Linked DNA regions of Elephas maximus indicus. The protein of the gene in region 1 purifies or fractionates together with the protein of each later gene. This does not show direct contact. Links are inferred from orthologs where the notes say so. Each region holds a gene or a part of one and is shown on either strand. Other genes may lie near its edges.

Evidence for each region.
Region 2: the proteins of STUB1 (region 1) and PPARG purify together in Homo sapiens (affinity purification with western blotting; 3 studies listed by BioGRID). This does not show direct contact. The link is inferred for Elephas maximus indicus from reciprocal best matches to the Homo sapiens genes STUB1 and PPARG.
Region 3: the proteins of STUB1 (region 1) and NADSYN1 purify together in Homo sapiens (co-immunoprecipitation; 3 studies listed by BioGRID and IntAct, with this or other methods). This does not show direct contact. The link is inferred for Elephas maximus indicus from reciprocal best matches to the Homo sapiens genes STUB1 and NADSYN1.

What each region holds. Positions count from the first base shown.
Region 1 is NC_064830.1:57,894,782-57,898,527, forward strand, and holds the start of STUB1 (E3 ubiquitin-protein ligase CHIP), read left to right. Parts: upstream 1-1,551; 5' UTR 1,552-1,685; coding exon 1,686-1,844; intron 1,845-2,389; coding exon 2,390-2,588; intron 2,589-2,668; coding exon 2,669-2,834; intron 2,835-3,007; coding exon 3,008-3,095; intron 3,096-3,180; coding exon 3,181-3,237; intron 3,238-3,313; coding exon 3,314-3,430; intron 3,431-3,508; coding exon 3,509-3,634; 3' UTR 3,635-3,746. Other genes in the region: uncharacterized protein LOC126086948, read right to left, coding at 1-139, 227-379, 535-667, 889-988, 1,304-1,452. UniProt on the Homo sapiens protein: E3 ubiquitin-protein ligase which targets misfolded chaperone substrates towards proteasomal degradation.
Region 2 is NC_064838.1:37,503,207-37,506,952, forward strand, and holds the start of PPARG (peroxisome proliferator-activated receptor gamma), read left to right. Parts: upstream 1-877; 5' UTR 878-1,392; coding exon 1,393-1,474; intron 1,475-3,746. UniProt on the Homo sapiens protein: Nuclear receptor that binds peroxisome proliferators such as hypolipidemic drugs and fatty acids.
Region 3 is NC_064825.1:134,274,497-134,278,242, forward strand, and holds the start of NADSYN1 (glutamine-dependent NAD(+) synthetase), read left to right. Parts: upstream 1-1,149; 5' UTR 1,150-1,244; coding exon 1,245-1,329; intron 1,330-3,534; coding exon 3,535-3,595; exon of another isoform or gene 3,596-3,746. UniProt on the Homo sapiens protein: Catalyzes the final step of the nicotinamide adenine dinucleotide (NAD) de novo synthesis pathway, the ATP-dependent amidation of deamido-NAD using L-glutamine as a nitrogen source.

The DNA.
Region 1 (3,746 bases):
ATGTTGACTGTGCCAGGGCTGAGGTCAGGCAGCAGGCCCGGGCACATCTTCCGCCCCACGGCCCAGGTCCACAGTGCTGTCTCCGCGGGCTGCCGGGTCCGTGGCCCAGAGGCACTGGCTGGGAAGGAGCAGAGGGAGTCTGGGCCCATAAATGCTAGCCACCCCTGCCCTCTGGACACTCCCACCGGAGCCCTGGACGCCCTCCTGCCCACCGATGTCCCCTCACCTTGGCTCAAAGCCTTGGCATGATCCTGCATCTGGCCCAGGTACAGCCGGTAGTGCTGGAGGATGTACTGCTGGGCAGGCAGGCCAGACACCCTGGCCACCGCCTCATGGGACATGAAGTCTGCTGCCTCAGGAGCTCCAGCTGCCAGGACTGCTATAGGCAGTGAAACGGAAGGTAGTACTCTGGCCCCACAACTCAGTGGACAACACCGCCTCCAGGACAGACCAGGCCAGGTGGGTTCCCATTCCACCCGAGAACTTCGCTGGGTGGATAGAGAGAACACTACACCCACCCAAGTGCTTCCTCACCTGAGGCTGTGGCGGCGCCCACACTGCGGCGGGCACACAGCTCTGTGACGGCCGTCAGCACATCGGGCAGGAGGCGGAAGGCAGCGGCTGAGCACCGCACCACGAGCTCCGGGGGATTGGCGGCTACCAGCTGCTGCAGGGGCGGCCGGAATCAGCCCCACTGGGGGTGGCCAGGCCAAGGGTGTTGGAGGCGGACTTGGCCAAAGGAAGCCCCGACCCCAGAAAGAGGTCCCGCCCCGCGAGGGCTCGCCCCAATGAAACTCCGCCCGAGGAAGCTCTGACTCGCGAAGAAGTGTCTCCCCAGGAAGAAGCTCCGCCCTCTCCTGGAGACCAACCCCACAGGGGAATCCTCACCGCAACCTTCCACGTCAGCAGCCGCTCCAGCTCGTCTCGCGTCACGTGCTTCTCCCCCGAACTCCACCCACTCCCGGCCACGAGCAACTCCTTATGATACCTGGGGAAGAGCAGCGACGGGGTCCAGGCCACGGGGAGCTGTCGCCTTTACCAGTACCCTCTCCCTCCGCCAAATTCCCTACCGCCGTACCACCGATCCAGGGCCTCCAGCCGGCCCTGGGAGCCCGCGTGCGCCCACACCACCTCCCCGTGATGCGCCAGGACGACCCAGCGACTCGGGTCCTCACAGCCCCACAGCCCGCGGGCGGCTGCTATATTCGCACTCCGGGGCGGGGCTTCACCGGCGGGGGCGGGTCCTCAGCTGGTCCGGGGGCGGGGTTCACGGGATGGGGCAGGCCCAAAGAAGGTATCTCACTGGGGAGGCTGAATGCAAAGACAGCTGCAGCCGTAGCCGGTTCCGTAGAGAGGCCTTAGAGGAGCAGGGTATGTGGGGGCGGGGCCCGGCCTTCGGGAAGGAGGGCTCAAGAGTGGGGGGCGGAGAGAGGCTAGGGGGTGCACGGGCATCGCCTTTACGCCGGCGCTCCCGGCTAACCCCGCCCCGTCGCCGAAGCCGGGCAGGCGCACGCGCGGGCCCGCCCACCTCACGTGCCCATCCGCTGGCTCCGCCTCGCGCAGCCGGAAGTTCCGGTGGCCGATCACTGGACCCGGCCTGAGCGGATCGCGGGCTCCGGCTACGGGCACGGGGTGGGCCGGGCGCGGAGCCTGGGAGCGAAGCCCAGGCTGTGCCGCGCGGCGCTATGAAGGGCAGGGAGGAGAAGGAGGGTGGCACGCGGCTGGGCGCTGGCGGTGGAAGCCCGGAGAAGAGCCTCAGCGCGCAAGAGCTCAAGGAGCAGGGCAACCGGCTCTTCGTGGGCCGCAAGTACCCGGAGGCGGCGGCCTGCTACGGCCGCGCAATCGTGAGTGCGCCCTGGTCTGGGAGGGGGCAGGGCCCCATCTTTCAGCCCCGCGTCCAACCGCCCCCCAGCCCCTACCCGGCAGCCCCGCCGGTCCTTCGGTAGGAAGGTTTTGGCTCGGTCTCAGGGAAGTCACAGGCTGAGGACTCGGTGATAATCTTGTTCCTAAGGGGCCAAGGCCACGGCTGTGGACCCAGCGCCAGTTGCTGGACAAGTATGGTGGGTGGGGTGAACGGTTCAGGTTTGTTTGAGTTGGCTTGGTTGAGTACAGGTATCTTTGTGCATCGAGGACCGCAAACCCAAAGTGTGGGTCTCCACAGGTCTGGGACTTACCTTTGCAAAATCAATTAGAGTTGAGGTTTGGGTTCTGAGCCAGGCACGTGGGCCAGGACTCCAGCTCAGCAAGTCTTGGGACCCAGGGACTCCTGAGAAGCTTATAGTTTGATTCCAGCCTTGGGCCCCAAAGCTCGAACATGACCTGGGAGAGGGCCCAGGCTGAGCTCATGCCCTCAGACCCTCACACTGGCTGGTCTGGCCTTGGTCCCCAGACCCGGAACCCTCTGGTAGCTGTGTACTACACCAACCGGGCACTGTGCTACTTGAAGATGCAGCAGCATGAGCAGGCACTGGCTGACTGCCGGCGTGCTCTGGAGCTGGACGGGCAGTCAGTAAAGGCACATTTCTTCCTGGGGCAGTGCCAGCTTGAGATGGAGAGCTATGATGAGGCCATCGCCAATCTGCAGCGAGGTGGGCTGGCGGCATGGGGGGGGGCAGGGGTGGCTTGGCCTCAGACTGCCAACGAGTGACCCAAAGCCCCCATTCCCCAGCCTACAACCTGGCCAAGGAGCAGCGGCTCAACTTTGGTGATGACATCCCCAGTGCTCTGCGCATTGCCAAGAAGAAGCGCTGGAACAGCATTGAGGAGCGGCGCATCCACCAGGAGAACGAGCTGCATTCCTACCTCACACGGCTCATCCTGGCACAGCGGGAGAGGTGGGCTGTGGCCGAAGCAGACTCTGCCCCACTAAGTCACGTAGTCTTAGGTTAAGTCAAAAATATTTATTGGAGAAGCAGGAGATGGGAGGCCTGATCATTGGCCCTGAGATTGGGTGGGGCCTGACCTCTCCTGGCTAGACCTATCTGACCAGCTCCTGGTCGGCCCCCAGGGAGCTGGAAGATTGTCAGCGGAACCACGAAGGTGACAAGGACGATGGCCACGTCCGGGCCCAGCAGGCCTGCATTGAGGCCAAGCATGTGAGAATACCCCCAGCCCCAAGTGGATCTATCTGCGTGCATGGTGGGGCAGGGGGATGGTGCCTAATTGCTTGTTTCTTTGCAGGACAAATATCTGGCAGACATGGATGAAATCTTCTCCCAGGTGGACGAGAAGAGAAAGGTGAGGCCAATCTGTCCCCTGGGGCTTGTGGTGGGGGTCCCTGTCATGGCCCCTGATCCCTCCCTGTGTGCTGCAGAGGCGAGATATCCCTGACTACCTGTGTGGCAAGATTAGCTTCGAGCTGATGCGTGAGCCATGCATCACGCCGAGTGGCATCACCTATGACCGCAAAGATATTGAGGAGCACCTGCAGGTGAGGCTGCGGCCAGCAGGGACAGGTACTGCCCAGCCCCAGGCCCCTGAGCACCCTCTGACCCTGCTGTCCCTGCAGCGTGTGGGCCACTTTGACCCTGTGACGCGGAGCCCACTGACCCAGGAACAGCTCATCCCCAACCTGGCCATGAAGGAGGTCATCGACGCATTCATCTCCGAGAATGGCTGGGTAGAGGACTACTAAGGCTGCCAGTGCAGGGCCTGTGTCCCCAGCCCTTGTACATAGTCTGTCCCTGGACCCCCCCACCCCCTAGTGTCCTGCCCTACCCTGTCGTACTGCTGATGGGCTCTGAACT
Region 2 (3,746 bases), on another chromosome or scaffold:
TACTATACTGCCATAAAGAATAATGACAAGTTCTCAAAATACATTATAACATGGATGACTCTGGAGGACATTATGCTGAGTGAATTAAACCAATCACAAAAGGGCAAATACTGTATCATCTCACTATTATAAAAAGAAAAGAATAGTTACACATACAGTAAGCAACATTCTTTGGTGGTTACCAGGGATGGGAGGGAAAAAGAGGGAGAATCACTTTCTAGATAGTTGATGCTTGTTAGTTTTGGTGATGGGTAAGGTAATACTGAATAAGGATGAAGTCAGCACAACTTGACCAAGGTAAATGATCACACAAAGAAATACACAAGAATAAGGGGTGATTTTGGTAAAAAGCCACAACATATAAAATTTTGCAACAACAGTAGTAACAACCAAAAAAATATGTGCATGGTTACATGTAGATGTGTGTACTTATATATGTATAGGTAAAAACAAAAAACACACCTCTAACCAGAAGGCTGGAGGTTCAAGTTCACCCAGAGATACCTTGGAAGAAAGGCCTAGTGTTCTAAGTCTGAAAGGCCATCCTTTGAGAACTCTGTGGAGCACAGTTCTACTCTGACACGCATGGGGTTAAGTTAGAATCTACTTAACAGCAACTGGTAAAAGTAGTAGAATAAATATCTTAAAAAAAAACCAAAGAAACCCACTGCCGTTGAGTCGATTCCAACTCACAGCGACCCTATAGGACAGAGTAGAGCTGCCCCTTTGAGCTTCCAAGGAGGACCTGGCGGATTCAAACTGCCAACCTCTTGGTTAAAAACTGTAGCGCCTAACCACTACACCACCAGGGTTTCCATAATAAATATCTTAGGATTATAATATGTTGATAACAAATTTAAAATGAGTGCATATTCGAATTCAAAAGTTTACTTCAGATAACGTGGCTACAGATTCAACCAGGAATGGACAGCTAGAAAAAAACTTCGTCCAAATGAATTTCTCTGGTATTTCATAACCCAGGGATTTAAAGTCTTCCATTTTAGGAAGCTCTTGAACAATCTCCTTGCTCTGATAATTCTAAATACTGTACAGTTCACACCTCTCACAAGACTCTGAACATGTGGGTTACTGACGAGACAGTGTGGCAATATTTTTCTTGTAATGTACCAAGTCTTGCCAAAGCAGTGAGCAGCATTATGACACCACGTTTTGTCACAGCTGGCTCCCTAACAGGATGGTGCCAGCCAATTCAGGCCTGGTCCTTTCTGTGTTTATTCCCACTTCTCCCAAATATTTGGAAACTGGTGTCTTGATTCACTGGTGTATTCATGTTTTATTACTGCAAGTCTTTTTCGTTTACCGGATTGATTCTTTGCGAGGAATAGACAAAGTATCATTGTGAATCACAGCGAATCTCTTTTCCATGCTGGTATGGGTGAAACTCTGGGAGATTCTCTCATTGACCCTGAGAGCTGTTGCTTCAGTGATACACTGTCTGCAAGCACTTCACAAGGTAAAGTCTGTTCTAGAAAGGGCTATTTGGGATATTTTTGGCATTAAGTAAGGGTAAAATTGCTCGTCTAGGTTCAGACTACAGAAAAGTTGTTTTTCAAAGTATATTTATTCTAATACTATCGTGTCTATATTTCAGTACTTTAATGCTTAGTTTTCTGCCCCAATGTTCACTTATAAAGAATATTCAAAACCTTTGGGAGGGGGGAACCTAATAAAATTATTTCTGTGCATGGTTCTTACTTCCTGAATTGTAGGCATTAAAGGCGCATGTATATCCTAAACCAGTCTTATTTGTTTTTATTTCCTGAGTTTGTATACATTTCCCAAAAATACTTAAGGAATTTTTGGAATTTTTGAAGAGTCACTTTCCCCCCATTAGTCTTTTATGCTAGATATTTCTCACAGGGCTTTCTATCCCTCTTCCAGCACTTTTATTCCTCTTAAACCTCTCTGAGTACTTTTCTGTTCTACTTTGAAATCTAGGTATTTGTGTGTACATTTATCTCGCTGAAGAATTGTAAGCACCCGGAGTGTAGGGACCAAGCTATATTCTTTCTTGTGTTTCTTAGGATACCTAGCATAGTGCCTACTCTGTTTTAAAAGCATAGATTGTGGGGACCTTGAAGAACATCCGTTCTAAGAACCTCATTTCACACTTGAAGTAAATGAGTTTCCTAAAAGGTTAAATGCTTATTGTGTGCTAAATAAGATATTACTTCTGCGAGGATATGAAAGATTCAAACAGCGACTTCATTTTTCAGCATTTCTTTCTTAGCCATTGCCAAGTTTAAGTTCTTCATTTCTACAGCTCCTTCTACTGGAGTTTCTTAGGACAGCTTCTTATGTTTTGTATTGTTTCATATTTATTTCTTTGTTTCTATTTGTTTTATTTTTTTTCTCTTCTCATAGGCCTCATGTAAAAATAGATTGTGTTAACTAGTGTGAGTCATGTTTTACACTATAAATGCTAAGGCATTAATGTTAAGTCACCTAATTGTTTAAATGGACGCTTCTATTTTAAGCTTTTGATCTTTATGAAAGCCTAGAACTTTAACATATTAATCACAAATTTTAAAAGCATCATTTTTTTTAATTAAGAAAAAATATTTCCTGAAATACTGTTTCAGTTTATTATAATCCTTTGACTCAATGTATATTTCTATCTTGCTGATTTCTATCTTTCTGAGCCTCTTATATAGGACTTTATTTTCATGATGCTGTGTAAAATGATGGTATTCTATTTTTTTTGCAAGCCATAAAAATTATTGCTACCTTTCTTCAGTTATTGATTTAGCCTGCATTAGGGCAAAATGTCCTAGCTATTCCATGAAATAATAGTACTTGAATCAAAATGTGATAGTTTTCTCTGTTTGAAAAGAATATCTCTAGAGTGTAATGCAACAAACCTTTTAGGTTCTCTGGAGGCAAGTACAATAGAAGTCCTGTATATTGTAAGGACGGTTATGTGATTCAAATTGGTTTTCTTTCTGTGCTAATCTCTTACTTTTAGTGCCTTGAATTTTCCCTGTTTAATCTCCTCCAAAAGAAGAACCCAGTACTTTTCTTCTTTAAAAAAAGCTATTGTGATAAAATATATATTATAACCAAAAAATGGCTGTTATAATCATTTTAAGTGTGCAATTCAGTGACATTAATTACATTCACCATGTTGTGCGTGGTCATCACTATCTATTTCCAAAAGTTTTTCATCACCCCAAAAAGAAATTCAGTATCCCTTAAGCAATGACTTCCCATTCTCCCCTCCTTCCAACCCCAATAGCCACTGATCTACTTTTGTGTCTGTGCATTTGCCTGTTATTTTGCCAAATACGTGCCTTATATCTTATATAAGTAGACTCACACTTCTCCTTTTGTGTCTAACTTATTTCATTCAGCATAACGTTTTCAGGGTTCATCCATGTCATAGTGTATGTCTGAACTTCGTTTCTCTTATAGCCGAGTAACATTGCATTGTATGTGCGTACCACATTCGGTTTATCCATTCCTCTGCTGATGGTCACTTGGGTGGTTTCCACCTTTCGGCGATCATGAATAGTGCTGTAATGAACCTTCTTGTACAAGTATCTGTTTGAGTCCCTGCTTTCAAGACTTTTAGGTATATATCTAGGAGTGAAATTGCTGGGCCATAGTACTTTTCTTTTATTAGCAATTACAACACATTTTGTACCAGTAATTTAGTCTCATATTATCTTACATGGTTTGTGATTACATCTTATTCGTGTTGTTTTCTGTTAAAATATAAGTTCCTA
Region 3 (3,746 bases), on another chromosome or scaffold:
TAAAACACTAAAGAAAAAACATGTTCACTACTTCAAGGCCTTTCTTCCACAGAGCCGCTGGCGAGTTTAAATCGTGGATCTTTGGGTTAGCAGCCTTGGCACCGCCGGGGCTCCCTCTTTGAAGGTTTTTACTTTCATGTGCCTCCAGGCGGGCCGACTCCAAGCAACCCTACGGGACAGAGCAGACCTGCCCGCAGGTCGCCAAGGGCCCCTGGCGGAGTCCAGCTGCAGATCTCTGCGTTGACAGCCCAGCTCTTAACCACACGGCACCCAGCATCTCAGGAGACATCTCATTAGAACACGGCTACACTGGCGGGTGGGGTGTCAGCGAGTGGATAAAGCGGACGGACCCCCGACCTGGCGACCCCCCACCAGCCTGGGCCAGGCGTCTGGCTGCGCGGCGCCCACGGAGCGGCCGAAGGGGTTGGCAGAGCCGGACCCGAGCGGTGACCCGCGGCTCGGAGCACCTGCCTGCTGCGCAGGCGCGACCGGGCCTCCCCAGGCGGGCGGGGGTGGGGGCGGAGCGAGGCGGGGCCTGAAGTCGGAGGCTCCGCGGTCCCGCCCCCGCCAGGCCTCGTCGGGTGGGGCGGGGCGGGGCGGGGGCGGGGCCAGACCTGCGGCTCTACAGGCCTGCGTGGGCGGGGCCTCGCCGGGAGGGGCGGGGCGGAGCGAAGTCTCAAGGAGCGGTTCTGTGGGTCCTTCCTGCCAGGCGGACCTCACGGGGCGGGGCTACCCACGGGGGGGGCGGGGCGCGGCCTGACGAAGCGGGCCCTGACGGGCTGGGCGCGGAGGAGGCGGGTCCTGACGCCCCAGTTCGTAGGACTACCGGAAGGGGCGGGGCGCGGAGGGAGCGTGGAGGGGGCGGGGCCGGATGTTACAGTTCGTGGGACTACCGGAAGGGGCGAGGCGAGGAGGGGGCGGGGCCGGACGCGGAGTTCAGGGTGTCTGCCCGGAGGGGCGGGGCCGGGAGGGGGCGGGGCCGGACGCGGAGCTCAGGGTGTCTCCCCGGAGGGGCGGGGCCGGGAGGGGGCGGGGCCCGACGCGGAGCTCCGCGGGCCTGCCCGGAAGGGCGGGGCGAGGAGGGGGCGGGGCCGGACGCGGAGCTCCGCCGGTCTGCCCGGAGGGGCGGGGCTGGGAGGGGCGGGGCCGGACGCGGGGCTCAGGGGGACTGGCCCCCAGGCTCGGAGGACCGAGAGACCGGCAGGTTGGCCCGCGGGCTGCCTTCCCGAGCCACGGAGGCCAGAATGGGCCGGAAGGTGACCGTGGCCACGTGTGCGCTCAACCAGTGGGCCCTGGACTTCGAGGGCAATTTGCAAAGGATTTTAAAGAGTGAGTCTGGAGGCTGCGCTGGCGGGGCGGACGTCCAGTGTGCGGCCCCGCTCCCCGCGACCCCCCAGCTCCTTGCCCCGGAGGCACCTGGGGCAACCCCAGATAAGAGTGGATAATGGCCAGGCCTGTGGTGGGACACGTGGTTTGTGAGGCTTGAGAGAGAGGAGCGTGGGGGAGGGAAGCCAGCTGGGGGGCGGGGCACGCACCTGTCCTCCAGCATCCGTGCAGCCCAGGTGGCACAGCTGGGGCTGAGCTGCCCATACTCGGGGGTGTGTTAGCGGAGGGGCGGCCAACTGCTGGCCGGGGTGTTTGCAGAAGAGACCTGCAGTGGGCAGCCTGTGGCCTGCGAGGACCTTTCTGGTGGGTGGGCACTGGGAGAGATCCGCCCAAACAGGGAAGGCAGACTAAGGGGGTGAGCCTGCGAGCTTAAAAACTCTGTGGGCTTTGTGGGGTGACAGTTGCACTTTGTGAGTGAAAGGTTGCACGCTTGTATCTCAGCTAGCCTGCCCTGGCACACCTGCAGATGTGAGCCACCCTGGTTGTCTCGTACAGAGCTGCTTACTCCCAGAGGGCTGGCCAAGAGCGGGTAAAACAGAATTTGAGCAATAACGTCTTGTCAGCCATTTCCCTTGAACTTTTTTTTTTTTTTTTAATCAACCTGCTTTCATTTCATCAGAGGCAGAGCAAGTCTGGTTGGGGTGAAGGGAGGCGAGCTCAGGTGGCCAGAACTGATTTTGAGGCAGCTTGGCCCTCCACCTTAGAGAAGCTGCTGCCCACATCCACCAAGCGGTAGTGCCTGCAGGGGTCCCACTGCTGGGCTGGAAGCCTTGGGACCCCCAATCAGCACCTTCGAGTTCTGCACTCATTCTGCTGCAGGTGTTCAGTGTCTACATGTTAATAAACCACCAGGGTGTGTCCTCTTCTCCCCTTCCTCCTCCTCCTTTGGTGCTAAGGGTCAGCCCGGAGACCTGACCCCGTTTCTCATTTTGGTCAGGTGTGAGCTGGTCTGGGAGGTGCTGTCCTTTGCTGCCAGGCTGCCAGGAGGAGGGCTGGCTGCATGGGGTCAGGGAGCTCACGGGGCTTTTTAAATTTCATTCATTTTTATTATTATCATTTTTTAAAATTGTGACTGCTGCAGCAGGAGTCCCTGGGTGTTGCAAATGGTTAAGTGCTCGATTATTAACTGAAAGGTTGGTGGAGGAACTGAGTTACTGGGGCTTAGTGCTGGGGACCATGGTCTCGGGGGATATTTAGGTCAATTGGCATAACATGGTCCATAAACAAAATGTTCTGTACCCTACTTTGGTAAGCAGCATCTGGGGCCTTAAAAGCTGTGAGTTTGAAAACAATACATTTATTGATCCCATCATGTTTGGAGCAAAGAAGAATGAAGAAAACCAAAGACACAAGGAAAATATTAGTCCAAAGGACTAATGGACCACGTAAACCACAACCTCCACCAGCCTGAGCCCAGAACTAGATGGTGCCCAGCCACCACCACTGACCACTCTGACAGGGTTCACAATAGAGAGTCCCGGACAGAGCAGAAAAAAGTGTAGAACATAATTCGAATTCACAAAAAAAGACCAGACTTACTGCTCTGACAGAGACTGGAGGAAACCCCGAGACTGTGGCCCCCAGGTGCCTGGCTAACTCAGAACTGAAGCCACTCCCGAAGTCCAACTTTCAGCCAAAGATTAGACAGGCCTATAAAACACACAACAACACATGGGAGGAACGTCCTTCTTAGTTCAACCAAATATATGAGATCAAATGGCCAGCACCTGCCCAAAAGCAAAGGTGAGAAGGCAGGAAGGGGCAGGAAAACAGGCGAATGGCCACAGGGATCCTGGGGTAGAGAGGGGGGAGTGCTCACACCTTGTGGGGATCGCGAGCAATGTCACAAAACAACTCGTGTATAAATTTTTAAATGAGAAACTAATTTGTGCTGTAAACTTTCACCTAAACAGAATAAAAAAAAAAAGTTCAAATCCACCCAGAGGTGCTTCGGAAGAAAGGCCTGGAAATCTCCCAAAAGGTCACAGCCTTGAAGACTCTATGGAGCAGTTCTACTCTGCACACATGGGGTCACCGTGAGTTGGAGTCAGTAGCACTAACAACAACAAACCACAACAGGGTGTTAGATTACCTTTGGATATGTTGTAGGTGCTGAAATTGCCCCTCTTTCTTCCTCTGTGCATGTAGGTATTGAAATTGCCAAAAACAAAGGAGCAAGGTACAGGCTTGGACCAGAACTGGAAATATGGTGAGAGCTGACCTCACAGATACCCTGGGATGAGCTGGGTGTGCAGTCCGGGGGTGGGCAGGTGGCAGTGGCTGTGTCTGCTGGAAGCGCCCTGGGCCAGGTTGAGAGCTGGGGTATGCCAGATCCGCGGAAGAGGCCATCGGCAACCTGT